Callithrix jacchus: one gene and its partners. The protein of the gene in region 1 purifies or fractionates together with the protein of each later gene. This does not show direct contact. Links are inferred from orthologs where the notes say so. Each region holds a gene or a part of one and is shown on either strand. Other genes may lie near its edges.

Evidence for each region.
Region 2: the proteins of ZMYND8 (region 1) and CSNK2A2 purify together in Homo sapiens (affinity purification with mass spectrometry; 6 studies listed by BioGRID and IntAct, counting the BioPlex papers as one, with this or other methods). This does not show direct contact. The link is inferred for Callithrix jacchus from reciprocal best matches to the Homo sapiens genes ZMYND8 and CSNK2A2.
Region 3: the proteins of ZMYND8 (region 1) and ZNF687 purify together in Homo sapiens (affinity purification with mass spectrometry; 4 studies listed by BioGRID and IntAct, with this or other methods). This does not show direct contact. The link is inferred for Callithrix jacchus from reciprocal best matches to the Homo sapiens genes ZMYND8 and ZNF687.
Region 4: the proteins of ZMYND8 (region 1) and MTA1 purify together in Homo sapiens (affinity purification with mass spectrometry; 3 studies listed by BioGRID and IntAct, with this or other methods). This does not show direct contact. The link is inferred for Callithrix jacchus from reciprocal best matches to the Homo sapiens genes ZMYND8 and MTA1.
Region 5: the proteins of ZMYND8 (region 1) and MTA3 purify together in Homo sapiens (affinity purification with mass spectrometry, with the first as the bait; 3 studies listed by BioGRID). This does not show direct contact. The link is inferred for Callithrix jacchus from reciprocal best matches to the Homo sapiens genes ZMYND8 and MTA3.
Region 6: the proteins of ZMYND8 (region 1) and TSPYL1 purify together in Homo sapiens (affinity purification with mass spectrometry; 4 studies listed by BioGRID and IntAct, counting the BioPlex papers as one, with this or other methods). This does not show direct contact. The link is inferred for Callithrix jacchus from reciprocal best matches to the Homo sapiens genes ZMYND8 and TSPYL1.
Region 7: the proteins of ZMYND8 (region 1) and MTA2 purify together in Homo sapiens (affinity purification with mass spectrometry; 3 studies listed by BioGRID and IntAct, with this or other methods). This does not show direct contact. The link is inferred for Callithrix jacchus from reciprocal best matches to the Homo sapiens genes ZMYND8 and MTA2.

Annotation. Positions count from the first base shown.
Region 1 is NC_133506.1:42,544,432-42,548,623, forward strand, and holds the start of ZMYND8 (MYND-type zinc finger-containing chromatin reader ZMYND8), read right to left. Parts: upstream 2,801-4,192; 5' UTR 2,741-2,800; coding exon 2,727-2,740; intron 1,551-2,726; exon of another isoform or gene 1,525-1,550; intron 1-1,524. UniProt on the Homo sapiens protein: Chromatin reader that recognizes dual histone modifications such as histone H3.1 dimethylated at 'Lys-36' and histone H4 acetylated at 'Lys-16' (H3.1K36me2-H4K16ac) and histone H3 methylated at 'Lys-4' and histone H4 acetylated at 'Lys-14' (H3K4me1-H3K14ac).
Region 2 is NC_133521.1:16,079,386-16,083,394, reverse strand, and holds the start of CSNK2A2 (casein kinase II subunit alpha'), read left to right. Parts: upstream 1-1,209; 5' UTR 1,210-1,579; coding exon 1,580-1,683; intron 1,684-2,126; exon of another isoform or gene 2,127-2,300; intron 2,301-2,475; coding exon 2,476-2,587; intron 2,588-4,009.
Region 3 is NC_133519.1:11,187,414-11,190,913, forward strand, and holds the end of ZNF687 (zinc finger protein 687), read left to right. Parts: intron 1-373; coding exon 374-550; intron 551-659; coding exon 660-822; intron 823-952; coding exon 953-1,282; intron 1,283-1,396; coding exon 1,397-1,509; intron 1,510-1,701; coding exon 1,702-1,843; intron 1,844-1,981; coding exon 1,982-2,476; 3' UTR 2,477-3,109; downstream 3,110-3,500. UniProt on the Homo sapiens protein: May be involved in transcriptional regulation.
Region 4 is NC_133509.1:140,274,664-140,278,928, forward strand, and holds the start of MTA1 (metastasis-associated protein MTA1), read left to right. Parts: upstream 1-1,465; 5' UTR 1,466-1,533; coding exon 1,534-1,561; intron 1,562-4,265. Other genes in the region: uncharacterized protein LOC128928889, read right to left, coding at 471-605, 1,081-1,465. UniProt on the Homo sapiens protein: Transcriptional coregulator which can act as both a transcriptional corepressor and coactivator. Acts as a component of the histone deacetylase NuRD complex which participates in the remodeling of chromatin.
Region 5 is NC_133515.1:72,273,362-72,277,498, reverse strand, and holds the start of MTA3 (metastasis-associated protein MTA3), read left to right. Parts: upstream 1-1,337; 5' UTR 1,338-1,367; coding exon 1,368-1,395; intron 1,396-3,036; coding exon 3,037-3,104; intron 3,105-4,137. UniProt on the Homo sapiens protein: Acts as a component of the histone deacetylase NuRD complex which participates in the remodeling of chromatin.
Region 6 is NC_133505.1:122,618,785-122,623,017, reverse strand, and holds the start of TSPYL1 (testis-specific Y-encoded-like protein 1), read left to right. Parts: upstream 1-1,433; 5' UTR 1,434-1,531; coding exon 1,532-2,818; 3' UTR 2,819-4,233.
Region 7 is NC_133511.1:119,871,046-119,875,331, reverse strand, and holds the start of MTA2 (metastasis-associated protein MTA2), read left to right. Parts: upstream 1-1,486; 5' UTR 1,487-1,864; coding exon 1,865-1,892; intron 1,893-2,641; coding exon 2,642-2,709; intron 2,710-3,061; coding exon 3,062-3,155; intron 3,156-4,286. Other genes in the region: EML3 (echinoderm microtubule-associated protein-like 3), read left to right, coding at 42-140, 413-543, 641-844. UniProt on the Homo sapiens protein: May function as a transcriptional coregulator. Acts as a component of the histone deacetylase NuRD complex which participates in the remodeling of chromatin.

The DNA of each region.
Region 1 (4,192 bases):
AACCTTTCATCCATGTCTATTGGTTTAAAAGCTAGAGTAGAAACCCCATTGGGCTGCTCTGGGAGCCAGCACTGCCGTCCCTACCTAGTCATGCTGCAATGCAGACATTTATCCCCCACCACCACCACCACTTCCTGAAACTGGAAAATAATGCTACTTTGAAAGCAATTAACTTTTTACAGACTCATGCTTGGTGGGGGCCACAGTACGAGAGGAAAAGTGGCTAGCTTGGTCCAGGGTTGGGAACTTGCTGGGGGTTATACATTTGAAAACAGATCTTGGCTCTCCAAACCTGTGGGAGCCATTTTAATGCAAGCTTTTAGAGGACAAATGCCTTGCCCTGAAGTTCCCTTCCAGCCCAACAAACACAGTATTATGCAAACGTTGAAGGCACCAAACCAGGAGTCTTATGATTAGACACTGCTTCTAGGGAGGCCACAGGAACCTCAATATGTAATCTCCATTTACATATTGCAAGGAGATAAGAACAAAGAAAAGAGCTGAGTGTCTGAACTTACTTGTTTGGGGCAGTGGAACTGCTCAGTTTTAAGTATATAACATCATGAACTGCCTGCAGTTTTATTCTAAGAAGCTAAGCTGGCCTGCCTTGCACAGACTTTTCTCAACTTAGAATGTGGTACATTTCTCCTGATTAAATGAGCCTTTTTCCAATTTGATGTCAGAAAGTGGGCTACTGGACACTCATTTGAAAGAAAAAAGATTACTGACTCCATAAAGTTGACATAACACAGCAACTGAATATATATTTCCTGCATTTACAGTCATGCCGGATTGGTCTCCAAGCTGAAAATTTACATAGAGAACTTCTAGGGAAATTCTGAAGGTAATGCTAAACAAGACTACTTTTTCCACTTAACTTCTAGCTGCAGCCCAAGGAGAGCAAGGGAAATGTAAAAAGAGAAATCTTATGTGAGGCCAGCATGCATACAGATGTGCAGATCAGACCTGGAAAAAGGTCGAAATGTGTGTCAGTGAGTCCTGAATAAAACACAGACTGGTGGTGGATGAGATTTTGTACTATATATATAAAAATCCTAAAACACGAGCACTGACAACCACCCCCCCAAAACACACATACCACCACCACCACCACCACCACCAGCTTCTGCCCCCTCCCCTTCCCCCCCACCCCTGCAGTATTTTTAGGTCTCTGCACCTCTAAGCACAAACAGTTTCATTTCACAAGCACATCACCTACTCACAGGTTGAATATCCAAACAAACCCCATTAAAGGTCTAGAGTCAAGTCACAATGAACTGAACATTTCTCCCTGACTGGGGGTAAACAGGAAGTGTAATCTTCAATCCTAGCTGCAGGTTATCAGGGAAACCAGTGGATTCAAACAGTCACCTAAAATCAAGACACTCTTTAAAAGGCCCTTGTTCTGTTCCTGCTAATGAAGCCCCCAACTCCTGTAGCCAAGACCCCCTCTTACAATCAGACCCCGAATGTTCACAAAACTCTTCAAACATGGTCACAGAGGAAATGGATTGCTTTACTTACCCAACAAATGTTCAAGCAACCGTCTCATTTTTCCACAGTTAGGAAGAGAGAACAGGCTGGCAGATTTGGGACTTGATCAAAAAGGAAATTTTTTTAAACAGTTACATGGTATTATTAAAAACACACAACAACACCACCACAACCCAACAACTGAATATGGAATGCTGTCAGGAGCCAAAGACATGATTTTATTTCCTCTACACTCCATCACACAGAACAGAGGAGGATACAATGTATAAAAGGGAGAGGAAAAGGAAAAGGGTAAAAGGTAACATCAGTTCCTTGAAAAATCATGCAAGAGTGGAAAGCTAAGGGATTCAGAGACCTTGCAGATTTTTTCCTTTTCTTTTTTTGCAGGATGTTGTCCAAGATCTCTCTCCCCCCACCCCCCAATCCCCATCCCTACTCCAAAAACTTCCTCCAACACTTTCAGAAACATTTGCTGGCTGTAGGCTGGCTTGCAGAACACTGTAGCAACCTAAGTCAAGAAAACAGGCTGAACAAAGTAGTTTCAAGTGCAGAAGCTCTTAGAATAAGAGAAGCTCCGTGTACAGACACCACCACCCACCTAGGCCCCAGGAGCTAGACTCTCCTTAGCACTGCTCTGCTGAGGGCTCAGTTCTTTTTGCAAACACGCTCCTCTCTTGTCAAAACTTATCCAGCCTTCCCAGAACCTCTTTGGAGAGGCAAACTTGCCTGCTCTGCTGTCTGCCATGAGCTCTCCTTGGAGAGGAGCCTGCTTGCTTACCTTCCATTTTCTTCCCCCAGCAGGGCATGTGGCAAAAGAGAAGACAATAGTGCAGGGAGGGAGGGGGGACTGCTCAGAGAGAGAGAGAGAGAGAGAGAGAGAGAGAGAGAGAGAGAGAGAGGAAGAGAGGGAAAGAAAAAAAAAGGAAAAAAAAAAGAGCTTCTTTTTTGGCATACCAGGATCTAGCTTCAAACTCTTCCAGAAACACCATGTCCTGGTGGAAGGAAAGGTGTGCCAGGCCCTTGCCAGTTTGCAAAATCAAGCTATGGCTAATGGCTACTGAGCCATGTGACCCAAGAAAGCAAAAAAAATTCTCTCTAAACAGTTCCAAGTTAACATAAGTGCTCTGGGGGTGAGTGTGGCACGGCCAGCCACAGAGAAATCACACTGCTCGCCCACAATTCGGATGTCTCAGAGGGAGGGGGAAAAAAGATGGTTAAAAAGTCGAGCTTACCTCTGTGGATGCATTGTTAACACTGTGTAATGTCAATACTTATAAAACATGGAGGACAGGCTCCTAGTTCTCACAGAAAAAGGGTTTGGCACTTCGGCTGATGATCTGGCCGCCTAATAAAAGCTCATCCCCGATTGGCTGCCCCGGCAAATCGGAGTGTAAAGCCGCCCCGGATTGGCTGAAACACTTCCTGAGCGATTATCTTTGTGAGGCTCGGGTGAGCAAGAGCCATCCTGTGCATAGAAAAAGACAGGCTAAGCTAGGCCTTTTGCAGCAAGAAAAACTTGGGAAAGGGGCCCCCACACGCACTTCTCCCACACCCTGGCTAGATTTCCGGGCACGGGCCAGCCAGGGCAGCCAGCCTGACCTGCTCCAGGGAAGCCCGAGGCCCAGATGCCCCTGGGAAGAGAGTTTCTTGAGGTGGGCTGGGACGGGTCACCCTCACCTGCCCCCAGAGAAACGGCTCTTGTCCAGGGAGGAAGGCCAGCCCTTTTCTAGAACAGTCCAGCAGGGTAACTCCCCAAGGGGAAGAGGAAGCTGGGGAGTGGGGAGGCCAGGGGAAACAGCCAAGGGAGCCAGAAGAAAGGGCTTGAGGCAGGCCTCTGAGGAGCTGGGGGAAGCAGGCAGCCCCGGGGAGCCCCGAAAAATCAGCAGAGAACATCCCTGGCTTCTCAGAGGAGCGAGGAGCCGCTGCTGAGGGGAGGAGGGGAGCAGAGTGGTCAAGTTTGCATAGTCATTGTCCCCATGCCTCCTTGCAAGGCAGGCCAGAGAGCAGTGGGCCTCTCACCCTGCCCAGCCAGCCCTGCAGGCAAAACCAACGCGGGTTCCTGCCTCCCTGCCACGATGCCAACGGGGGCCCCTCTCGGTCCTTACCCTAAGAAAAGCCCAAAGCCCTCCTGGCAGGCCACATGCCTGGATCTACAAACTTCCCTTCCCTCCCGGCCCCTCCCCCACGACCGAGGCCTGCTAAACCTGTCAGTTAAACACAAATCTGACTTCCGTATTAGCCTAGGATGCCTTCGGCTTCCTGCCTGTTAACCCTCACTCGGACTCAGGGCCTGGCTGGGAAAAACTAGGCCTTGAGATCGCAGCAAAGGCCTGTGGAAAAATACCAGCTGCAGCTCTGCTGGCAGATGCAGACAGAGAGAGAGAGAGCCGCTGTCTCTCAGCCTTTGCTTCCCAGGGAGGCGTGTACCTTGTGAATCCAGGGCACAGGCAGTGCCTCTCGGGCTGAGAAGCCATTTCAATCCAGAGGGAGACAGAAAGATGGCATGCTCAGCCAGGAAACAAGAGCCCCCATTATGCGTCAGGCCTACCCCCGTAGGTCAGCCCTTCCTGCCACAATCATCCCTGTTATGTGTGAGCCTGGGGGAGCTGGGCCCAAGTCGGTGAGCAGACAAATCCCTTGGGCTTCCTAAGGATTCTTGCTTCCATTTATTTGCACAGAGAATGCTTCTTCTCGTCCC
Region 2 (4,009 bases), on another chromosome or scaffold:
TTTTGTTTAGTTCTCCTTGCAGCCCTGTGAAGTGGGTGCTATTACTGATTTTATGCTGTAGAATCTGTGAAACAGAGAGGTTGAATAATTGGCCCAAGGTCACACAGCTTGTAAGCAGCAGTACTGGATAGATCTGACTCCACAGTCTGTGCTCTTAGCTTTGTCAAGGAGGAAGGCCCAGAGTTTCATCCAGAAAACAGAATGTGAAAAGGGATTGGAATCAGAGCAACCTGGACTGGGTGAAGAGGTTGTGTCGCGAAAGGATGCTGGATGAGAAAGAAAGTCAGAAGAAGGGCCTAGAATGTCAAAAGAGAGGAGTGTCCAGGGCCGCAGGCAACACTGGAAGCCAGGCCAGCTCAGCTGGCCACCCATCCCGGTGCATACCCAATCTCAGTCTGTCCCTTCAGGTCAAATTTACATTCTCCTGCTCTCCCTCCTCCTCAACAAAAACAGGAGATTTACAGACTCTCAACGTCTCTCCCCACAAGCGACTTACTAATCACAAAGGGAAAAATTGTAACTTTGCGGTGGCACAACCTGGCCGACTCCAGCTTAACCAAGTGACCAAAGTGGGTATTCAGAGGGTTCTCAGGGAAGGCTCTGGAGGGGCTTTTGGGGGAAATGTATAAGGGTTTTGTGAGGAGGACTCTGAATGAAGAGGGTGGGAAGTCTTGGGGACTGAGGAGTCTGCGGGAACAGGGAAGGGTCCAGAGGGGGAAGGAGGGGTACGTCTCGGGGGAAGGGAGAAGTATTGAGGTGGGAGAGGTTCTGAGGTTTGAGCGAGGCCCTGGAGAGAGACTTGACAGTTTGGGCGAGAAGAGGGTATGGGAGGTGTGTGGGGGTAAAAGCTGGGCAACTGCAGAGCTGGGGGCAGGGTCTCCACCGACAATCTTGAAAGGGTCGGGACTCGAAGGGGAGGGTTCTAAGGCAACGGCCAGTGGAAGTGGGGGCTCCTGTGGCGTGAGGTAAGGCCAGCCGGAGGGTGAGGCGATTTGGACAGCCCGGCCTGGGGCAGCGGGAGGGCCAAGGTGGGGGAGGGCGCGGGGGAGGGGGCGGGGCGTGCTGGGGTGGGGCCGGGGCGGGGTCGGCACCGCCCGGCGGGTCCCCCCGCGCTGCAGGGGGCGCTGTGAGCCTGGGCGGCCCCAGGCCGGGCGGCGGCCGCTCCCCGTGAGCGCGGCCCCTTTTCCGGGTTTCCTCCGCCTCCTCCTCCTCTCCTCCTTCTTCTCCGCTGCTGCCGCCGCTGCCCCTTTCCCGGCCGGTGGCTGCCGCTGCCGGTGCCGCCGCCGCCGCCTCCTGGGGGCCGCGAGCCGAGCGGAGACCGCCGCGGAGCGCGAGCGCCGCCCGCCCCGCCGCTCCGCCGGCCGCTCCAGGGCCGGGCCGGCTCGGCCGGCGCCCCCCGCGCCCCCAGCCCGCCCGCCCCCGCGGGCCCGGCCTGGCGCGGCCGCCCGCTACCGCGCTCCTCCTCCTCCTTCTCCAGAGCCCGGCGGCCAGCCGCCTCCTCCGCCCGCCGCCCCGCGCCCTCCGCCGCGCCGCCGCCGCCACCCTCTGCGCCCCGCGCCGCCCCCCGGTCCCGCCCGCCATGCCCGGCCCGGCCGCGGGCAGCAGGGCCCGGGTCTACGCCGAGGTGAACAGCCTGAGGAGCCGCGAGTACTGGGACTACGAGTCTCACGTCCCGAGCTGGGGGTAAAGCCGCCGCCGTCCCCCGCCGGGCCCGCTGACCCCTGTCTCCGCCCGGCCGCCCCCCGCGACCCGCACTCGGCCGGGGTGGTGTCTCCCGCCGATCCCTCCGCGGCCCCGCTGGAGACAGAGGTCCCGCTCTCGCACATGTCCTCGTCTTCCTCTTCCCTCCCCTTTACCCCGGTTTCGTCCCTTTCTCCCCGCTTTGCGCACCCCTTTCCCCCAAGGAATGATTTTTTTACTCGGAGAGAAGTGTGGGGTGCACGGATCGGCGCTGGGTGGAAGTGAGGGAGCAGCCCTTCTCACACTTTTGGGTTTCCACTAGGGTGGGAAGTCAACAGCTGTCCTCTGGAGCTATTAAAATTCTCTGCCTTTTCGGTTTTCTGAGATGAGGTAGTGGGAGGAAATTTCTTAAAGACGTCCACATTTTTAAAACAGGGATTGTCTACCTTCAGGGTGTGAAACGGGAAGCAGGTGCTGTGAAGCCGCGGGGCAGAGGGGGCACCCTCTAGGCCTTCAGGACGGGTGCTTTGTTCGCCCCTCTGGATTGGCTCAGAGCGTTGCCTTTCTACCCCATCTTCCCAAGTTAGGAGAGACCAGTTAGGTTAGGAGCTCTGCAGAGTGAAGGGAGCCAAGATTACGTCGTGGCTTTCATTTAGGGAATGAGTTGTGACGTGATGTGTAGACACTTCCAAGTGTTTGCCTGGCGGAAGCGGCTGGATGACGTGTATAGTGGGCATAGGCTTGGCTAACCCCCAGTCCTGGCATTTATGTGTGTCTGTCTCTTACCTTTTACAGTAATCAAGATGATTACCAACTGGTTCGAAAACTTGGTCGGGGAAAATATAGTGAAGTATTTGAGGCCATTAACATCACCAACAATGAGAGAGTGGTTGTAAAAATCCTCAAGGTGAGTGTCCTATGAGTGATAAATAACATTTGTTCCCCCACAGGGCAAAAGGATGTAAGCTACCCCAGTCACATTCTAGAATGGGCAGTGCAAGCTTGAATTTAATTACTTATTTAGAGTCAGAGTCTCACTCTGTAACCCAGGCTGGAGTGCAGATTATGGTTCACTGCAGCCTTCAACTCCTGGGCTCAAGTGATCCTCCCTTCTCAGCCTCCCAAGTAGCTGGGACTACAGGTGCATGCCATCATGCCCAGCTATTTAAAAAAATTTTTTTGTACAGACAGGGTCTGGTCATGTTGCCCAGGCTGGTCTTAAACTCCTGAGCTCAAGCAGTCCTCCAGAACGACTCCTTGCAGGCTTCCCAAAGTTGCTGGGGTTACAAGCATGAGCCACTGTGCCCAGCCCACACTCAAATTTTACTTCTCTGATGACCCTTCATTACTTCTTTTTCCACCCCATTTTCCTGTGAACTTTCAAGGAAATGTGCAGACTGGTCACAAATCTAAGCCCAACTCTTAAGTTCAGGAAGGTGTTCTAAAATGTAAATTATAGGTGCCTAAAGCAGAAATTCCAAAAGGGCTCCATTTGTTAGAAAATAAATAGGTATTCAAAAGACCAAAAAGCCATTCTCAATTTCAGGTCTCCTTGAGCACTGTTTGTTACTCTTGGTGCGTGATCTACCTTATTCCATAAAGAAAGCTGGACAAAACTGGAGTGACTTCAGAGATGTATTGCGAGCCCAAGTTGAAGGAAATTCCTTAGTGGATAATCACTTGTTTTTTCTTCTTTGGCAGTAAAGTTTCAGGTGGCGTGGATATAGTGCACTAGTAGGGCTGAGAAGCCTTGTTAGAAAGCCAGAGAGCCTTTGTTGCTTATCAGCTAGTAAAAATATAGAATTCACTTATGATTTCTAAAGTAATCACTGGAACAAAACTCTTAACATATGGTTTAGCGATCTCAGTTTGATAATGCTGTGCTTTTGTTATCTCTTTGATGAAGATGATTTTAATGAGCATGAAGGGTCGGCTAAATTTTCCTTCAGGTAAAAGATTAATTGTGTAGCTTTAATAATGTTTTATAGGGTGTGGTAAAAAGTAATTGGTAGAATCTTTGATGGGTCCTCATTATTGCCAGATTATTTCATGTGGGCACGTGTCATTCAGTGAGAGATTGAGAAGATGGAAGAGTAATGTAAGCACTTTTGTATACATGTGATTTCCAGTGTGGCCCTTTTGCAGAGGTTCTGTGGACTAAGAATGTGGTATTGAAAAGCTGTTTCTGTGTGTTAGGGCAGCTGTATAGGTAATCCCTGTTTAATGTGAGGGGTCAATGTTAGCTTTCTGGTAATCACCTTTCAGAAAAATGATCAACTCCATCACTCAATACATCCTAGCCTAGTGATGAAGGAGCAGAATTGCAAGA
Region 3 (3,500 bases), on another chromosome or scaffold:
TTGGACCCTTCCTCCAGAGTGTAGGGTTTCATGTGTCCTGGCCTCAACCTTCGACAGCCTTTTGACACCCCCGTCTCCCCTGCTGTATCCCTCAGCCCTGTCGTTTTGGGGAACTCAACCCTGAGAATAGTACATCTTGCCTTCCTGACATAGAGATGGGGGGAAGGAGGGCCACCTCTGGAGCTTCAGCTCTGCCTCGGCAGCCTCCCTTGGGGAATGGCCTTTGCACCTCCCCCCGTTCTCCACCCTGCTCATGTTCCACTGCTGATTTCCTTCTTGGAGTCTACCCAGTCCTGGAGAAAAAGTGTGGGGTGCTGGGATGGGCATGGAGATGCCTCCCTCATTACCACAGGGCCTCCTGCTTCCTCCCCAGGTGCCCCAGCTGTTCAGTTGTGTTTGGGGGTGTGAACTCCATCAAGTCCCACATCCAGACGTCGCACTGCGAGGTTTTCCACAAGTGCCCCATCTGCCCTATGGCCTTCAAGTCTGGGCCCAGCGCCCACGCCCATCTCTACTCCCAGCATCCCAGCTTCCAAACGCAGCAGGCCAAGTGAGGCCTAGGGAGGGGCAGGCTGGGATGGGATGGGGAGGGCGGGTTGGGGGCAGAGGGGAGGGGCTGCACCCACCGTGGCCTGACGTTTGTGTTGTGCTCACCTTAGGCTGATCTACAAGTGCGCCATGTGTGACACAGTCTTCACTCACAAACCCCTCCTCTCCTCACACTTCGACCAGCACCTGCTGCCCCAGCGTGTCAGTGTCTTTAAGTGCCCGTCTTGTCCTCTGCTCTTTGCCCAAAAAAGGACCATGCTAGAACATCTCAAGGTACAGGAGCAGAGCAGTGGGGAATGGGTGCTTAGCTGTACTGACATGGGGCTGGGGCCACGTAAGTGGGGGGCTTTGGCACAGCCAGGGCCTTCCCCACAGCAGCCACCTCCCTTGTCTCCTCTAACAGAACACCCATCAGTCTGGGCGCTTGGAGGAGACTGCTGGGAAAGGGGCCGGGGGTGCCCTGCTGACCCCCAAGGCTGAGCCCGAGGAGCTGGCTGTTTCTCAGGGAGGGGCAGCCCCTGCTACCGAGGAGTCATCTACATCTTCTGAAGAGGAGGAAGTACCCAGCTCCCCTGAGCCCCCCCGTCCAGCCAAACGGCCCCGGCGGGAACTAGGGAGCAAAGGCCTCAAGGGTGGGGGTGGGGGGCCTGGAGGCTGGACCTGTGGCCTGTGTCACTCCTGGTTCCCTGAGCGTGACGAGTATGTGAGCCACATGAAGAAGGAGCATGGCAAGGTGAGTGGGCCTCGAGGGGAGTACCATGGGCCGGGGGTGGCACTGGGACTGCCGGTGTGACAGTGGGGACGGGGTCCTGGAGCCTGGCTCTGACATCTACCCCTGCTCTCCTAGTCAGTGAAAAAGTTTCCCTGTCGTCTGTGTGAGCGCTCCTTCTGCTCTGCCCCCAGCCTGAGGCGCCATGTCAGGGTCAATCACGAGGGCATCAAGCGAGTTTACCCCTGCAGGTAACTCCTACTCCCCACTTCCTCTTCCTGCCCAGCACATGACCCCCTGCATATGCCAGAGTACCTTCGAACCCGCAGTTGGTCTCAGTGGCCTGACCAGGTCTCCCTCTGCTCCAGCAGCCCCTCCTCAGGAGCAAGGGCCCTGGCCTTCGGGCTATGCCCCTGCTGCCATCCTGCCCTCTCCCATTTCAGGTATTGCACAGAGGGAAAACGCACCTTCAGCAGCCGCCTGATCCTGGAGAAACATGTCCAGGTCCGGCACGGCTTGCCACCTGGGGCCCAGTCCCCTGGCCGGGGGAGCACCCTGGCTCGGGGTCCCAGTGCCAGAGCCCAGGTAGGCAGGGGCCTGGCCTGTTGTGTTAGGGCTTTGAGTAGGAAACTGGAAGGTAGAATCTGTGGCCGCAGGAAGTGAGGGAGGGGTACCAGGGGCAGTGGGAGTGGTGGTGAGACCGTTTCTTCCACTTTTCTTCAGGGACCAGGTCGGAAACGCCGCCAGTCTTCTGACTCTTGCAGTGAAGAGCCTGACAGCACAACACCGCCCGCCAAGACCCCCAGGGGTGGACCTGGATCTGGAGGCCATGGCCCCCTGCGCTACCGGAGCAGTGGCTCCATGGAACAGAGCCTTCTGGTGGGGTTGAGGGTGGAGGGTGGCGCCCAGCAGTGCCTCGACTGTGGCTTGTGCTTTGCCTCCCCTGGCTCCCTGAACCGGCACCGTTTCATCAGCCACAAGAAGAGACGGGGTGTGGGTAAAGCCAGTGCCCTGGGGCTGGGGGATGGGGAGGACGAGGCCCCTCCATCAAGGTCTGACCCCGATGGTGGAGACTCACCCCTGCCAGCTTCGGGAGGCCCACTGACCTGTAAGGTCTGTGGCAAAAGCTGCGACAGCCCTCTCAACCTCAAGACCCACTTCCGCACGCATGGCATGGCGTTCATCAGGGCTCGGCAGGGGGCTGTCGGGGACAACTAGGCCCAAGCCTGGGACTTACCTCTGGGAGCCTGGCTTTCCCTGCTGCTGCCTGGTCCCTGGGCTGGGGAGTTTCATTAACATTTTTGTTAATTTCTCTCCAACCTGAAGGAAAGCTTTTGAGGATTATTCTAGTTAACTTGCAACCTCCCTTTGGGTTTGGCCCTGGAGTCCTAGTAGCGTGGACCCTCCGTTCCTCCTTTCTGAGCCTAACACTAATTATGCTCCTGCTGCAGAATCCCCAGTGCGGGCCTGGGGGTGGGAGGATGGGACTTAGGTGTGCCTGCTAGACAGGTTCGGGGAAGGATTGATGGGGGTGTCACGGAGGGACACACCCCTCCACAATTCCTTCAGGCACGGACTGGAACTTTCCTCCTCTGGGCCAGGCCCTGCCCTAGTGCCCCCTCCCTATCAATTTGCTGGCACTCAAGCCCCCCACCCCTGCAGTGCCTTTCACTTCTTTTTTTTTCCCCAGAAATCGGGGGGGGGGGGGTTGGTGGGGATGAGTCCTGTCAAGGGGGCCACAGGACAGGAGAGGACAGGCTCTCAGGAATCCTTTATTCTTATAGTAATAATACTAACTGGGGGAACTAGGGAGAAAACCAGACCATTAAACTGCTTGTGGTCTCATCTCCATTCAGGCCTCTCTCTGTGACTTGGAGACAGGAAGCGGGTGAGAGTCAGAGCATGGGAGGCCTTTCCTTCTCAGAGAAGCGGTGGTGGTGACCAAGCCAGGCAGGGAAAAGCAAGCCTCTTTCTATGTGGTACCTTCTGCATCTTGGACACTCGGGCATCCGTTCACGCCTCATCACCCATCTCCCGCCCCACTCCCCCAAAACACCTGGAAATGACACAAGTGGCTAACTAAGGACTTTATTTCAAACAAAAATTAAAAATAAAAAATTGAGAGCTCTTTTCCCTGGACTTGGGGAAGGAGTCAGGGTAGGGAATTCCCCATGGCTAGGCCAGTACCCTCAGTACACTGGAGGGCTGTGGGAATTCCCTTCCTTGTCCATGATGGGGAACC
Region 4 (4,265 bases), on another chromosome or scaffold:
CCTCTTCCCACCCAATCACCAGCAAGCCAGCTCCTGTTCCCTGCAGCCCACAGGACGGGTCCTGGGACCCACAGCCCTCTCTTCCCGGAGACACGACCGCCCTGTAGTTCCCGGGCCTGTGCTAACCCTGGCAGGGCTTTCCTTTCTGGTCCGCTCCGCAGCCATAACGTTGTGGCCCTGCTCTCCTTGGACCCCACCTGACTCTCCTCCCAGCACATGCTGTTCCCTGCCTGCCGGGCTGGGGTCCCCATGCTCTCTCCCCGGCACCCTGACCACGTCCGTCCCACCTGCCTAGATCTTGCACCGCAGCCTCAGGGCTCCCTCCATGTCCTGCAGGGAGGCATGTCCCAGACAGACCGCAGCTCCTTCCAGCCACGCACCCACCTCCAGCATCTGAGCGGGCAGGGCCGTGACCCACGGTGCTGCTCACATCAGCAGCCTGGAGCCATGAGACACCTGCTTTTCCTCACCTCCGAAACTGAGGCTGCACCCATCTCGAAGCCATTCTGAGACCACCTGTTTCTCTCCATCTGGGAAGCCCCCTTCCCGCCTCATGCTCTTCCTGGCTGGGGCGTCTGGGTCACTGGACTCTCCTATCCTCAGACCTGCGCGAAAACACACAGGGAGGCATCCTGACAGGTGGCTGGAAGGAAGGCAGCTGCCCCACTGTGGAGAGAGTGCGGCCCTCCTGGACTCCAGCCCTGCTGGGACTGGCAGGGTCGGCAGGTGCTGGGTTCCAGCCTCAGATGGGGACTTTGGAGGTGGCCTCTGAGCACAGGCACCTCCTCTGTGGCCTTCTCACCAGGTCACAGTTCAAGGAGGCTTTGCAAGCTACGGGGCCTGCCCACAGCAGGGCACTCATGGCCACCTGTCCAGGGTGCCAGGCGGGCTGGGCGGCGAAGGCCAAGGGCACACACTCCCTAGGGTGGGGGGAAAGGTTAGGCCTGGAGGAACTTGTGGAGTGGAGACCCCGAGGCCAGGCCTGGGCCGCTGAGCTTCAGGGCCCTTGGGGGGCTCAGGGAGGAGTGCGGAGGACCCCAGCACCACGAGGAAGCCCTGGAGAGCTACGGCAGGACTCACCTGCGGGGCACCGGGACGGTCCCCAGGGAAGGGGCCCCTGTGGAGGACCCCCCTGGCCCCAGGGCAGTAGGGGAGGATCTAGCTCGGAGTGCGGCTGGAAGGGCCCACCCAGGAAGCGGCGCGCGGGGAGGACTCCGGGCCCCGGGAAGGGGCGCGCGGGCCGCGGGCGGCGCGGGGTCGGTAACGGCCCGCGCGGTGGGCGGTGGCGCCCGAGGCCCCTCCCCGCCGCCCGCGGCCGCTCCTCCTCTTCCTCTCCCGCCCGCGCCGCGGCCCTCCCGTCCCTGCGCGGCCTCGGCGGCCTCGGCGGCGGCGGCGGCGGCGGCGGCAGCAGCGCGGCCCCTTTAAACGCCCGCGGCGCCCCCCGCCCCCGCCATCGCGCCTCCATTTTCCCGGCCGCCCGCGCCGAGCGCCGCGCCCGCCCCGGGCCCCTCCGCCGCCGCCGCCGGCCCGGACATGGCCGCCAACATGTACAGGGTCGGAGGTAAGGCCGCGCCGCCTTTATGCCCGGCCCCGGCCGCCGCCCCCGCCCCTGCGCCCCGCGGCCCCGGCCCTTCCCGAGCAGCCCCCGCCGCGCTCGCCCCAACCCAAAATGGCCCCGCGGGTCGGCCCCATCGGGGGCGGGCGGGGCGCGGCGGCCGGGGTGGGGGGCGGCCCACCTGTTGGGGCGGAGGGGGCGGCCGCGGGGGCGGGGAGGGGCGCGGGCGGCGGGGCCATCGGGGGGCCGGGGCCGGGAGCCCCCAGCGGGAGCACGTGGCCTTGGGAGGCGCCGGCTGCCGGGCTGGGAGCCGGAGTTGTGGGGTGTGGGGTCTCCCCCGGCCCGCAGGCCCGTGCTGGGACCCCGGTGCATCGCCCCGGGGATGGGGAGCCCCGGCGAGGGCCCGCGCTCCTCCCCAGAGCCCTCCTGCAGCCTGGCCGCGGGGCTTCCCCCAGCAGGGCTCCCTCGGGGGTCGTCCGCGGGGAGCGAGCATCCGGAGCACGCCTCCAAGTCCCCCCAAACTTTTCCCTGCCTCCCGCTCACCTCAGCCCAGTCGGGAGGCGCTTTGCAAGGGCTGGGGAGAGGCCGGAGGGCCCCCTGGGCCGGGGCCGGGGCCGGGGACTGCCTCCCTGGGCCCAGCCTCCTGTTGCTCGGGCCCCTTGGGCCTGCAGCTTTGGGCCTTGCCCTACTTCGTGTGCCTGGGACTCCGTGGGGTCTTTCACAGGGAGGTGGGGGGTCGCGCGCATTCCATCACTCCGTCAGCGCCCCCCTCCCCGGGACTCTGAGACCCCTCCCTGCCGGTGACCCTCTCGGCAGGTGCCCATTACTTCCCCCACCTGCAGCCTGCGCTGCTGCAGGGAGCTGGGGTCACTGCCGCGCTGGCCTGGTCCCCACTGCCCTGGCCCCGAGTGCCCAGAACGCTCTGTGTCCCTCGAGCGTGGCTTCTGCTACCTTGGACGTTTGTGTGGTCCCACCGGCCAGCCCTGTGACCTTGGGGACGGTGGAAGCCCCCTACACCCGTCCGTCTGTGACATGGGTGCTCAGTCCGCATCAGCAGCTCGCGGCCCCGGGCCTCTGCAGGGGCGGTGGGCCTGTTCTCCATCCCGCGGCTGCCCCTCCCACAGCCTCACACACCTTTGCCGGGTCCGTGTGTGGACACAGGTGGGCTTGGGCCCACCCCTTGCCCAGGGATCAGCCTGGGTGCGGGGTCCCTCGTGGGAGGGGCCTGCTCCTCCTTGTTCTTTCTCCCCACCTGGATACCCCCTTCCAGCCTGACATGAGGGCCAGTTTCTCACCCTGGTACAGAGGATGCCTACTGCCTGGCTCAGCTGGGCCTACTGCGCATGGTTTTGGGATTGGTCCCAAGAAGAGCCCTTCCTGCCCCCACCCAGGATGGGGGTGGGGAGTGAAGGCGGCTTTGGACTCTAGGGCTGGGGCTACCTGGACCCCGGCTCATGCCTTCCCAGTGGCGAGTGGCTGCGTGCTTGGCCTTCAGGCCCCCCTGCCTGTCAACTTGGCACCAGCCTGGCCGCCCCCTCCACCTTCCTGTGCCTTGGTTTCCCCTTGGTGTGGGTGAGGACCTTGTGTCTCAGCCGTCCTGTGCCCAGTGGCTGAGAATGCCAGGGCCCTGCTCATCCCGTCGCTGAGCTGCAGCCCCTTTGGGTGCTGCACAGGCTTGGGAGGAGCCCTGAGTGGGGCTGCGTGACACTCTGTCCCCCGCACCCTCTGTTACCCCATGCCCACAGGCCCGTCCTGGGGCCTCACTGACCCAAGTGCACCAGTGCTGTGAGGGTGGGTGGACTGGACCCCGAAGCTGCTGCAGAAGGGCCCACTGTGCCTGGCAGAGATGCCGCTGCTCTCTTCCTGGGATGAGGAGCACGGAGGTTGGGTGCCGTCTGCTGGCAGCACAGGCAGGCGTGGGATCCGGCTGCTTCTGTGTGTGCAGTCCGTGGTCACTGTGGCCAGGGTGTACTCGGGGCTGTCAGGCCCCCCGTGTGGCTGCCCCGAGGACGTCCTCTCCCTGCTGGCAAGACTAGGGCTCCCCCTCTCTGTCCTGATCATCCTACAGGAGAAGCGGCATTTATGCCTGGCTTCTGGACGGGAATCCCGGCTTTGGTCCTGCGGTCCTGGCAGGGCCCCGTGGTGGCAGTGGGCTGGATGTTGCAGGTTGGCTTCCTGTCTTGGTGCTCACTCGGGGAGGGGGCATCTGGATTCTTGAGCCCCTAGGCAAGACAGAGGAAGGTGTGCAGTGTCTCCTGAGTGGCCTTCGTGTGTCTGTCGCCCGCTGCCTGGCATGGGCCCTGTCTGGGCGGCCAGCCCTGGCCTGTGGGAGCTGCCTGCAGGGACCCAGCCTGGGAAGGGGCTTGCTCCTGTGTGCCTGCAGGGACCTTGTGCATAGAGGCGCCACATTTAGCACAGAAAAGTACAGGACGCCCAGGCAAATTTGAGTTTCAGATAAACAGAAATTTCTTAGTGTAAGTATGTCCCAAATATGGCCTGAGACATGCTTATCCCAGAAGATTCTTATCTGACGATCATAGTTAATCTGGGCATCCCACATTTTAGCTGGCAGGCTGCTCCAAGGCCCTGCCAGGTCGGGCTCGCTAGGGGAAGGTGTGGCGGCCACAGCAGTTTTGTGCCAGCTGAGCTGGCTGAAGCAGTGAGCCGGCAGGGAACAGGGCCTGTTTCTTCCTCGCGGAGTGCCCTGGCC
Region 5 (4,137 bases), on another chromosome or scaffold:
CAGAACACTTTTTTCATATCAATACTTTGTGATAAGGGACCATCACAAATGTCACCACCAAACAACCAAAACACAACTTCTTTTCTGGGGGCACCTCTTACCCCCGCACACACCTCAAACTCAAGTTGGCAGCACACAGCTGTGTATCACAAGACATTGCAAACAAGCCACCACACCAGTAAATCGTCTTCATGTTTATTATGCAGTGATGTCTGGGAGTACTTTGGAATGGACTGTCTTCTCTAAAGAAAGTTATTTTTGGTCGTTTGGGGGATAGCCAGTTAAGATTCAACATTTTTTTTTGTTGTTGTTTCTGTGAGAGTAGGAAGGCCGTGAAAACAGAGGTTGTTTAGAGAATTGGCCTGCGACAATAACCATTTAGAAGCTTTAGACACATAACCAGTTAAGTGTCCATCAATATCAAGCTGATTGAACAGCATCTCCTCTTCTTGGGGGTGGTGGTGATCGTGAACTGTAGGGTCCTGTTCCCCCATGGACAAAGGAAGCCCCCAATCCTAAAGGTCCCTTATCCCAGAAGAACAGGCACTGCATAAATAGGGCCTGTCTAGAGCCAGGGCCTGTATCTGGGTGTTGGAGAGTTGGTTCTGCTCAGTTGGGATGAACGATGGCGCATTTAGGGTGGCCTAGAAGGGAGTTTTTCTAGCTCTGTCCCCGGCTGGGTCTCTGGCGAGGCGGGAACTACGTGGGGTCTTCCTGGCCCCAGAACCTGCAGGTACCAGGCCGCCCCCGTGGACCTCACCAGAAGGAAGGAACCCTGCTGCTTACACTTATTTGCATCCAAGAGATTGCACTGAGACTGGCGCTTGCCTACTAGGTCAGACACACGGGGGTTCCTCAGGGACGGAAGCAGGGAAGGAGGACCTGTCTCGGGGTGGGCAGGTGATGGGATACCCTGGGTGGGGCAAGAGGCCCTGCGGAGAGGCTGAGCGCCAGCCCCGACTCCAATTCTCTAACAGCCCCTGGTCCGCATTTCAGTCCAGACTTCCGCCTCGGCCAGGACCCTGGCCCCAGGGCCCTCCACTTCCAACAAGGCACCCCACTCTCCCTCCCGCTTCCCATTCCCTCCCCCCAATTCCCGCTGGCCCCACAGCGCTCGGGCCTCCCCCGGCCCGGCCCGGCCCACTCGGCTTCGCTAGCCTGGCGCTGGGGGCGGGCACCAGCCCCCACCCCTCGGCGTCCCCTCCCCTTCACTTCCCCCTCCCCCGCCCCCTCCCTTCCCTCCCTTCCCCCCGGTGGCTAGGCAGCGGCGGCGGCGGCGGCGGCAGCGGCGGTCGAGGCTGAGGCTGAGGAGGCGGCGGCGGCAGCGGGCGGGGCTCGGCTCGGGCTCCGCGGGCGGGCGGGCGGACATGGCGGCCAACATGTACCGGGTCGGAGGTAGGCAGGCTCGGCCCGACCCGGCCCGTGTGGGAGCGGGCTCCGGGAGCGGGGGGCGGGGGCCGGGGCGAGCGCAAGCGAAGTGCCGGGAGCCAAGGGTGCGGGGGCTGAGGGCGCAGCGGACGGGGGCGCCGGGGCCCGCAGAGGGGCCGGGGCTCCCCACCCCCACCTTTTCCCTCCCCTCCCCCCACGGTGGCCTGCGAGGAGCTGGGGCCACCTTCACCCTCTCACCCCACCTCGTCTTTAGGGCCAGGCCTCTACTTGGGGGTACGAATGACCAGACGCCCCCCCCTCCACGAAACCTTCATGGGAGTAGGGCCCGTCGAGCCCCCTGAGAAGGTGGCCGTCTCCTTGCGTGGCTTCTAGGCGCTGGAGAGGATGGGGGGACATCCCCTCCCCTGTTCCTTCTCCCCTCAGTGGGAGCCTGGGGTGGGGGTGGGGGCCCAGCCAGGGGCGCAGCTGGACGGGCCTGTTAGCGGGACGGGGCCCTGCACCTCCCCTTCCTCGCCTCCCTCGTTTCGTTTCTGGTCCAGCCCCCCACAAATGGGGCTTCGTAGGGCCTGGGAACCTCTGCCGGAGGTGGGGAGTTGAGCTCTGCCTGGACGTTTGCTCTGCTGCCTGCCTCCTTCCCAGTCTTCTGCGGAAGAGAGAAATAAGGTCAAACAAACTTTCTCCCTACTCAAGACGCCCTCCTCCCTCTTTCCTGGTAAAATAATAATTCAGATAAGTGGCGTGTTTGTATGAGAGACCGGCTCTTCCTTCTCTGCTCATTAGCCGAGCTTCTGATGGATAGTAGTAGGAATCGCCTGGCTAAATGAGGCCACTTTGCAGAAGAGAGCCGCGAAAGAGCCGCTAAGATAGACAATAACAGCACAGCCCTGCCTTTCAGATAAACACACAGTGGGAAGTTTCCAGCGAGCCTATTAGATGAGACGAAAAGCCACACTTGAAAAATTTTATCCTTTTAGTTGAAAGCCTGCGGCAATTTCTTAACCACAAGACATTAAATAGATTTGGATTAAATATGGTAAAAGGCTAAAAAACATTATGGTATCACCCCCAGAGCACTTTCCCTCTTAGAAGTGATCCCCTTGGCCCCCCTGTTTTCTCATCTTTCCAGACAGAGCTGTGGAAAAGTTTGTCAGCGTTCTTCCTCTTACCTGCTCTGCTCACCTGATTTTTTTTTTTAAGTAGTGATTGAAATGTAGGTTGGACTGTGAAGCCTTTCTCCGTGCTCTGAATGTCTTAGGTCAATAGTTTTATGTGAGAAGCAGCCTCCAGGGCAAATTGGATTGGAGGAAAAAGATGTGGAAGTAGTTACAGTACAGAGGACACATGTTTAGTGTGCCCTAACTGTACAGTGATAAGAGGTGCCTTTTTTGTTTATTATTAAAGAAATGACATATTGGGACAGAAGTCTAGGAGAACCTGGTAAAACGTTAATTGAAATGAAAATGCCAAGAAAATAAAGGTCTGTGAATCGTAGGCAGATAAGAGAATATATTAAGGCTATTTGCTTTTACCAGTGAATGAATTATGAGCTTAATTTCAAATGTGAATTGCCTAACATTAAAAGTCATGGACTGACAAATCTGAGCTTTCTGTTGAAAAGATTAAATTCTGTATTTCCTTTAATTACAGATTATGTGTACTTTGAGAATTCCTCCAGCAACCCATACCTAATAAGAAGGATAGAAGAACTCAACAAGGTATACATTTAGTGTTCTTAATTTTAATATTAAAAATATTTGTTTTTCCTTGACGGATGATTGGGTAGAGGGTGGCCTGGCGAAGAGATTCTTGCCTGCAATTCCAGTACTTTGGGACGGTGGGCAGGGGGAGACCAGCCTGTGCAACATAGTGAGACCCCATCTCTATTTTTTAAAAATTAAATAAAAAATAAACTGGGTAAAGATTATAAGAGGTGGCTCTACTTTCAGTCCTAGACACTTTGAAAGTTGAGGTTTTAGGCCAGGTGCAGTGGCTCATGCCTATAATCCTAGCACTTTGGGAGGCTGAGGCAGGTGGATCACTTGAGGTCAGAAGTTCAAGACCAGTCTGGCCAACATGGTGAAACCCCTTTTCTACTAAAAAAGTACAAAAAATTAGTCAAGCATGGTGGCATGCACCTGTAATCTTAGGTAGTCAGGAGGCTGAGGCAGGAGAATCGCTTGATCCTGGGAGGTGGAGGTTGCAGTGAGCCGAGATCATGCCATTGCACTCCAGCCTGGGCAAGAGAGCAAGACTCCAAAAAAAAAAAAAGTTGAGATTTTAGAGAGTTACGCAGGATTCCGAATTCTTAATATTCTTTTGCTTTTTCTGTTACTGAATATTTAAAAGTCTGCAGATTTCTTCAAATTGCTTAGAGCCTCTGAAAGAGCAGTTTACTTCTGTAACTCAGACCCTTTTTATATTTAGAGTCATCATGGGCCAGGTGCAGTGGCTCATGCCTGTAATCTCAACACTCTAGGAGGCTGAGGCAGTCAGATCACTTGAGGGCAGGAGTTCGAGACCAGCCTGGCCGATAGGTGAAACCCCATTTCTCTTAAAATTACAAAAATTAGCCAGAGGTGGTGGTGGGCACCTGTAGTCCCAGCTACTTGGGAGGCTGAGGCAGGAGAATCACTTGAACCTGGTAGGCGGAGGTTGTAGTAGCCGACAGAGCAAGACTCTGTCTAAAAAACAAAAAAGAGTCATAATATGTATGTCTCCCTTTTTAGTGAATTAATATTTTCCTCTTCT
Region 6 (4,233 bases), on another chromosome or scaffold:
AAATTTATCTTATAGTGCTGGAGGTTATAGGTAATAACCTCAAGGTGTTGGCATTCCTTTGGAGGCTCTAGGGTAGAATCTATTTCCTTACCTTTCAAGCTTCTAGAGGCTACTTTTATTCCTAGGATCCTGGCTCCTTCCTCCATCTTCAAAGTCAGCAACATAGCAATTTCCCTTTCCTTGCTCCCCCTCCTATTTTCCACCATTTCTTCCCTCTTTCTGTGCTTTTGTCCTTACATCTTCTCTGACTGACCCTCCTGCCTCCTTCTTAAAAGAAATATTGTAATTCCATAGGGCCCACCTGTATAATCCAGAATCATCTTCCCATCTCCAAATCTTTAACTGAATCATATCTGTGAAGTCTTCTTAGCCACATAAGACAGGCACATCTTTGAGGGCCATCAGCCTACTACCACACAAGGCAAATTAAGTGGAAAATAATGTTTGCCTCTTTTACACTTTGAGTCAACCAGCTGCATGTTGCTCTTTGCAAGTTTGTTTTCTACTTCAAGGCCACATTGGTTGTCCATTTTAATTAGCCTTTCCTCACAAAATGGTGGTATGTGGCTCCCCCAGCTGATACTTCTCTGAGGCCTTGTAACTCTCTAAGATAACACAAGTTTAACTCACAAGTTAACAAACGGGAACACTTCAACCAGAGACATTGACCTTCCTCTCTAATACTCTTAGCTGATTGCTAAAGACAGATGCCTCATTAGAGCCAAACATTCCTATCTTACTTAACTAAACATAATAAATTAAGTTTATGGGGCCGGAAATAGTTATCATTTCTTCTTTCTTGCAGTGAGGAGGCATGGAACAACATTTAGCAAATTGATCCTGGCTTAATTCCTACCGATATTATGCAGCACAAACTCTTATTTGATGGAGATTATAAATCGAGAATTAGCAATGAATAATACGCATCGCTTTAGTGGTAAGAAGCTGCTGAGTAGCTTCCCCCCACCCCCAGTAATGGTAAAGGCTAGACTTTATATTTTTATGTCACTTTTACTAAGAAGGGGAGAAACATTTTGCTATTCATCTTAGAGAAGCTTTTTGCTCCTAGTTACATGGAGTAACACGGAATAGATTTGCCTTCCTGCCTTGAAAAAAGTGAAGACCGGAAAAGCATTTGTTTTGAGACACTTAAGAGCAGGCACTGTTAGGGCTGTGATTCTACAACTGCTCTCACATGCTGGGGGCAGTCTCCAGATTCATCTCAAGGTGGGTCGTCACAGCTTCCAAACTAAGGACGATCTACATTTCTTTACGTAGGTAAAATGACTGTTGCTATGGGTAAATTCACAGAAGTAAAGCCCAGAGAATCCGGTTGGCTGGCTGGAAGAGGCGGAACCAATTCCGGGCTCAGCAAGGTCTCGCGATACCGTGAGATCTGCAGGCCTGACGACACCGCCGCAGAGACTTCCCTCAGACCCGAGGGTGGGCGGTGCGAGCGGCAGTTACCTCCGAGCGCTGCTTCTCTGAGGAAAACGGGCGTTGACCTGAGGTCGGTCCGACTGTGACCAACATGAGCGGCCTGGATGGGGTCGAGAAGACCCCTCCCGTTCAAACGCACAGCATCCCTATTTCTGACGACGTCTCGGGCGACCCGGACGCACGCCAGTGCCTGAGGCTCCGCGACAAAAGCGAGGCGACACAGGTGATGGCGGAGCTGGGTGAGGGAGGCTCGGAGACCGTCGCGCTCCCGCCCCCGCAGCCTTCAGAGGAAGGGTGCGTACCCCAGGATCCCGCGGGCCGTGGCGGTACTCCCCAGATCCGAGTTGTTGGGGGTCGCGGTCATGTAGCGATCACAGCCGGGCAGGAAGAGGGCCAGCCTCCTGCCGAGGGCCTGGCAGCCGCTTCTGTGGTGGGGGCAGCGGACCACAGCCTGAAAAAGGGCGTTCAGGATGGAGAGAAGGCCCTAGAAATCTGTGACGCCGAGAGGTCCGCGTCGGAGCTGACGGCGGGGGCGGGGACGGAGGCTGAGGAGGTGAAGAGAGGAAAGTGCGCCACTGTCTCAGCAGCCGTGGCTGAGGAGGAGAGGGCTGAGGTGGTGGTGAAGGAAGGCCTGGCGGAGGAGGAGGTAGTGGAGGAGCAGATGGAGGTAGAGGAGCAGCCGCCAGAAGGTGAAGAAGTAGAGGCGAGGGAGGAGGAAGGGCCGTGGCGTCTGCATGAGGCTCTCCGCATGGACCCTCTGGAGGCCATCCAGCAGGAACTGGACACTGTGAATGCTCAGGCCGATAGGGCCTTCCAACAACTAGAGCACAAGTTTGGGCGGATGCGTCGACACTACCTGGAGCGGAGGAACTACATCATTCAGAATATCCCGGGCTTCTGGATGACTGCTTTTCGAAACCACCCCCAGTTGTCCGCCATGATCAGGGGCCAAGATGCAGATATGTTAAGGTACATAACCAATTTAGAGGTGAAGGAACTCAGACACCCTAGAACTGGCTGCAAGTTCAAATTCTTCTTTAGAAGAAACCCCTACTTCAGAAACAAGCTGATTGTCAAGGAATATGAGGTAAGATCTTCCGGCCGAGTGGTGTCTCTTTCCACTCCAATTATATGGCGCAGGGGGCATGAACCCCAGTCCTTCATTCGCAGAAACCAAGACCTCATCTGCAGCTTCTTCACCTGGTTCTCAGACCACAGCCTTCCAGAGTCCGACAAAATTGCTGAAATTATTAAAGAGGATCTGTGGCCAAATCCACTGCAATACTACCTGTTGCGTGAAGGAGTCCGTAGAGCCAGACGCCGCCCACTAAGGGAGCCAGTTGAGATCCCCAGGCCCTTTGGGTTCCAGTCGGGTTAACGTTTGCCCTTGGGAATACTCCTGCACAAGGTCTCCTACCACCACCTGCTGGACCTGTGCTTGGGCAACAGAAATGGTATGCCTTCTACTGTGTTTTGTTTTTGCTGACTTTTCTGCACCCTCTTTCCTTTGGATATTCACTTCTCTCAACCTCAAGATTGAGACGGTGGTGGGTATGCTTCTCCACTTCCATGCTGTTCTGGAATATCACATGCTACGACGCCATCCTTCAGACTACTAAGCCAAGCAAATGATACTGTAGTTGGTACTGCCTTTATTGGTACTGCTTGGACCCTGTTAATTCCCAGGGCCTCTGAACTGGTTGCTATCACCTGGATTTCTAGCTTTGGGAGCCTATTCTATCTACTTAACACTGCATCGGGCAGTATGGGCACATGGCCTGTGGACAGTTACTGAACGTTAATGAACTCAGAGGAGAAAAGCAGTGGAGCTACTTGTTCTGTGTGATTTATGGTACTTCATTGTTCTTCCTTCACCTCTAATCACTCTGTTGCTACCTGCCCTGCTTTGGCTGCTGCCAAGGTCCCTCTCTCCCTCTTCCTTTTTGCTCCTATTTCTCTTTTTCCTTTTTTTGAGACGGAGTCTTGCTATGTCGCCCAGGTTGGATCTCCGCCTGCAACCTCCGCCTCCGGGTTCAAGCGATTCTCTTGCCTCAACCTCCCGAGTAGCTAGGACTACAGGCGCGTGCCACCATGTCCGGCTAATTTTTGTATTTTTAGTAGAGACGGAGTTTCACCATGCTGACCAGACTGGTCTCAAACTCTTGACCTAGTGATCTGCCCGCCTCAGCCTCCCAATCCTGTCTCTTTAAAAAAAAAAAAAAAAAAAAAAAGTAAAAGCTTGGAAATATTTGTAAAAGCAAACTTTAGTTTATTTTGGCTCTGTCATTTTCAGAGACAAAGAGGTTGTCCTGTAAAATACAGCTCTTATTGCTCCCCCCACGCCCCCTTTTCTCTTCCCAACTTTCTATCCCTTTTATCAACTCCTAGAATACTTAAAGGGAGACACATCTGGATGGAATGAAATGTGAGATCTAGTTTATAACGGATGGAAGAACTAAAGAGATTGTGATGGGTGCACTAAGCAGGGAAAACTGAACAAACGGCTAGAGGCATGGGCCAGGTAAAAATTGGGCCTAGAATGAAGACTGAGCTGAGGAGGAAGGAGTACTTACTCCCCAGTGGTGATGAATGGAGAAATACTTTTCTCAGGATAGTTAAAGGATAATTGAAGGGGTTAAAGTGTTAAATTGTTGCCTAGACAAGGGTTCTTTAAAGAAACACAGTGCAACCTTGAATGCTTGCTTTCTTCTTTTGTGACCGAATTTATGTGGAAGATTGTTATTTTACTAGGATTTTGTAAAATCTTATTTTTTTGGTTCTGCTTATTGTGAA
Region 7 (4,286 bases), on another chromosome or scaffold:
CTGACTGAGGGCGGGGTGAGAGCTGAGCTCCTTCTCCCCAGGGGATGTGGCTGGAGGCTGCAAGCAGCTGAAGAATCGCTATGAGAGCCGAGACCGGGAGTGGGCTACGTACACCTGTGTGCTGGGCTTTCACGTCTACGGTGAGCAGGGGCGTGGAACCCTGCTGGAGGGGCGGGGGACAAGGTGGAGCCCAGTTTGGGCTCGAAACGCTGGGCGTGTGTCGTTGGGTGGGAGTCCAGAAACCTGAAGATCCAGCCCAGGAGGCCCCCCCCCCCCGGCCCTCGGGACCGGGAAGGCTTGCCTGGAACGCGGCAGTGGGTGGCCGTGGCTGCCGGAGCGCCTGAAATAGTGCAGCTCTGGGCCGTGGGTGGCAGTGGGGAGGAGGTCGGGCTGAGGCCGGCCGCTGTGCTAGGCGTGTGGCCGGACGGCTCCGATGGGACCGACATCAACTCCCTGTGCCGCTCCCACAATGAGCGCGTGGTGGCGGTGGCTGACGACTTCTGCAAAGTGCATCTTTTCCAGTACCCGTGTGCTCGTGCCAAGGTGAGGCCGCAGGGGCCTCCGGGGCGGGGTGGGGCGGGACAGGACGGGTGGGCCCGAGGGCTCCGCCGCCACCGCAACTCCCTTCCCTCCTGTCCAGGCGCCGAGCCGCATGTACGGTGGCCACGGCAGCCACGTGACCAGCGTCCGGTTCACGTACGACGACTCGCACCTCGTCTCGCTGGGCGGCAAGGATGCCAGCATCTTCCAGTGGCGAATGCTGGGAGCAGGGGGCGCGGGGCCAGCGCCCGCCACGCCCTCTCGAACCCCCTCCCTGTCCCCCGCCTCCTCCCTTGACGTTTGATCTCGGCCTGGCGGACCAACTGGCTGAAGGCGTGGACCCGCCCCGCCCCGCCCTAGTTCCTTTAGACCCGGGGCTGACTCCTCGACTGACTTCCAGACATTCCCGATCGCGCATTTCCCTGGAGGGCGCGAACGGCGCCCCTGCACACACTGTTTAGACCCGCTGGCTGAGCTGGGCAGCCCCAGCCTAGGCCTTGACTCCCGCTGCCTGCTGAGGGGCAATAAACGAGAACCAAAGTCGCCTCCCGGTGCTTTTGTGGGGCGCTGCTGGGGGCCTCCGGGGCCTTGTGGGGTGGGGACGAAGGAAAAGAGGCGTGCGGAAAGGGTAAGGGAGCGTAGACCATTTATGCAAATAACAGGCAAAGCCGCTTGCAAATAACCTGGTTAAGCGCGAAGGCGCGCGAGTCTTTCGGGGCGGCAGGAGAAGCTGCAGGGACCCAGCGAGTACACAGTTAAGTCCGACTTCTCTCCCGCCCTCGGAAAAATGGGGTGGGTCCGAGCTGCGACGGAAATAGCCGAGTGCCGGGCCGCTGTTGGCCGACAGGAGCCGAACCTCTTCCGGAAGTAGCCGATCTGCGGGGTCTCGCTCTACGACCTAAGCCGAACGGTGGGCCTTGTTCTCCGGATCGGCCGAAGGTGTTCCGGAAGGAGGCGAACCCCGAGGCGGGCCGGGCAAGCCTTCCCTGCGGCCGGCAGATCCCAACGACTAGTGGGACTCGGCGGGGGCGGGGGTAGCTGGAGCTTAGCTCTGGCCTGGCAGGAGCCGAGCTCGTTCCGGAAGAAGCCGAGCGGACCGGGGCCGGCCTCAGCGTCCCGGGAGTGGGGCGATATCTGCCGCGGCGACAGCGCGGGCCGGGATGAACCGCGACGGCTGAGGCAGTGGAGGTGCCGGCTGCGCGGGCCCCACTGAGACTCCCTTGAAGCTACAGCCCCACGCTCGGGGCTTTGCCTCGAGCCGAGCCCTGCCTCCGCGAGCCTTCCGGACCCCTTTGTGCGGCCGGAGGCGGCGGCGGGAACGGCCATGGCGGCCAACATGTACCGGGTGGGGGGTGAGTACCGGGCGCAGGGGTGCGGGGCCCGGGGCGGGAGATGTTGGGGTCGGGACCGGAGGGACTCCGCACCTGGTGGCGCGGGGCGCCGCGTCTGGGGCAGCGTGGACCCGAGCGCGGACCGGAACCGGAACCGGGAGACTGGGAGCGGGGAAGTGAGGGTGCGGGAACGGCGACCGCGACGCGGCAGGGTGCCGAGACTCCCGGAGAGAAGCTGCGGGCAGCCCCGACGGCACTCTCAGGGCTGCGTCGGGGGCTCCCCCGGGTACAGAGTGGGCTTTGGAAACTGGTTCAGAAGGAGCTGACCTGGTAGGGAGGCGACGCGAGGGGCTGGGGCGACGGCTTTGCCACCGCGGGGGAGCCGCCCGGAGATTTCCTCTTCCCAGGCGTTATTGTGCGCCTCGGTTCGAAAAGGTGGGGGCCCAGCGCCAGCGTGAACAATGACTTCGCCGCGACTGGGCTGCAACTCATAGCTGAGTTGTGGGGACGCAGGGGAACCCCTGCTTCTTGCCTGTTCCTTAAGGCTCACTTTTCTGTGAAGGATCCGATTTTAGAACTAGGCGTGGTGGGGATGGGGAACATCCTTATTTTCTCTTAGTCTTTCCACTTTCACATCTCAGCGCCCTCTCTACCTGGATCTTTATCTTCTTTTGGTCCACTCAGGCCAACTTTCTCTCCTACTCTCGTGCTCTGTGTCTCCCGTCTCGTCCTCTGATCTTCGTGGTTCTTCCCCCTCCCCTCCCTTACAGATTACGTCTATTTTGAGAACTCCTCTAGCAATCCTTACCTGGTTAGACGGATTGAGGAGCTCAACAAGGTGAGTGGAGCAGAATCCCTCTCCCTCCCTCCCCCAGTGGTCTCTTTCTTCTGAGGTTTCTAACTTCTGGTGGAAGAGAGGACTCTATACTAAGTATCTATTCATATTCATTCATTCATTCATTGGATGTATTCAGGAAAGGCTATTGAGAGCTTAGCAGGAACTTACTATTCTGTCTCTTGGGGGCAAAGGAAAGGGATTTGGAAGTCTGTCCTTGAATGTAAGTCTTTACTCCTATTTTCTTGGGATTTTTTATTTAGGTTCCTCTGAAACTTACTGTTATTTGTCTCTGTGCATTTCTGTACCCAGATGATCAATTTTTCACTGCTACATTTTTTTTTTCTCTCCTTAGACTGCAAATGGAAATGTGGAGGCAAAGGTTGTCTGTCTTTTCCGGCGCAGGGACATTTCTAGTAGTCTCAACAGCCTGGCTGATAGTAATGCCAGTGAGTACCTTCATCTCTTTCTTTTCCCCCTCCCCATGATCTGAGGCCTGGGCATGTCCCTGCAGGAGTTTCTCCTGGTAGCATGCCCAAGGCAGAGGTGTGAATTTAGGGGTGGGAAATACCTGGTCTGAGGAGGGAGGCCTGTTTTTACACGTTGGGGTTGGAAGCAGGGTGGAGAGATTGTGATAAGGAAAGCTATAATATGGTTTGTGTATGAGTGTAAGAGAGAGATGATAATGTTTATTTAGGGGATGAGGATGAACTTCAGAGAAGCAGAATGCTTTTCTAAAGGGGGACAGTTTGGTGTACATTAGAACAGTAGGTGGTGACTGAAGGTCAAGGTGAAGAGGAAGAGATTGTTCTGAGAGGCCCGCATAACAGGGAAGTAGGCTCATTTTGTAATCACAAGGTGGTGGGAATACCTGGAAGCTGGAAGATGGTAGGAAAGTTTTCTTGTACTTTTCATTTCTTACCTCACCCATTTCCCGGCCCCCACTCCATTTTACATCTTTCCCTTTTCATTTTGCCCTGTCTTCATTCTCTTTAAGTTCTCATCTTTTTTTTTAAAAAAAAAAAACAACACAAAGAAACATGTTTTCCTCAGCTTCTTTTTCCTTTCCTGCTTTGATTTTCTTTCTCCTTCCTTTTGTTCCACCTTTCTAAATTTTCCTTTTTCAGACTGTTCTGGGTGAGAAGGGGTTAAGAAGGATCCCGGCTTACCAAGTTCCTTGGCCCTTTAGGGTTTCCAGCCCCATCTGGCAGGGGCTGACCTTGGCCTTGTCCAATCAGAATGAGTGTTGGGGGTGTGGTCCCCCTTGCCTTAGCACAGGGTTTCCGGAGCACATAGGCCAGGGGTGGAGCCTACCGCACAACCCCCCTTCTCCCTGAGGTTGGGAACAATGCACCAATGAGCCTGGGCCTGAGGCTCTTCTGTCCCCTCCCACGTTGGTTGGCGCCTAGCCAGGTTAACCCCTTCCACAAGGTTTCAGGGCAAGCTGCAGCTCCTTGGGGAGGAAGGTGTTGCCACTAGCTTGAGAGGTCTTGTCCTTGAAAACCCCAGGAACTATTATTAGAAAATGAGGGATAGTTAGGGCCACATGTGATGTTTTAGAGCAGAATCTCCTGAAATTG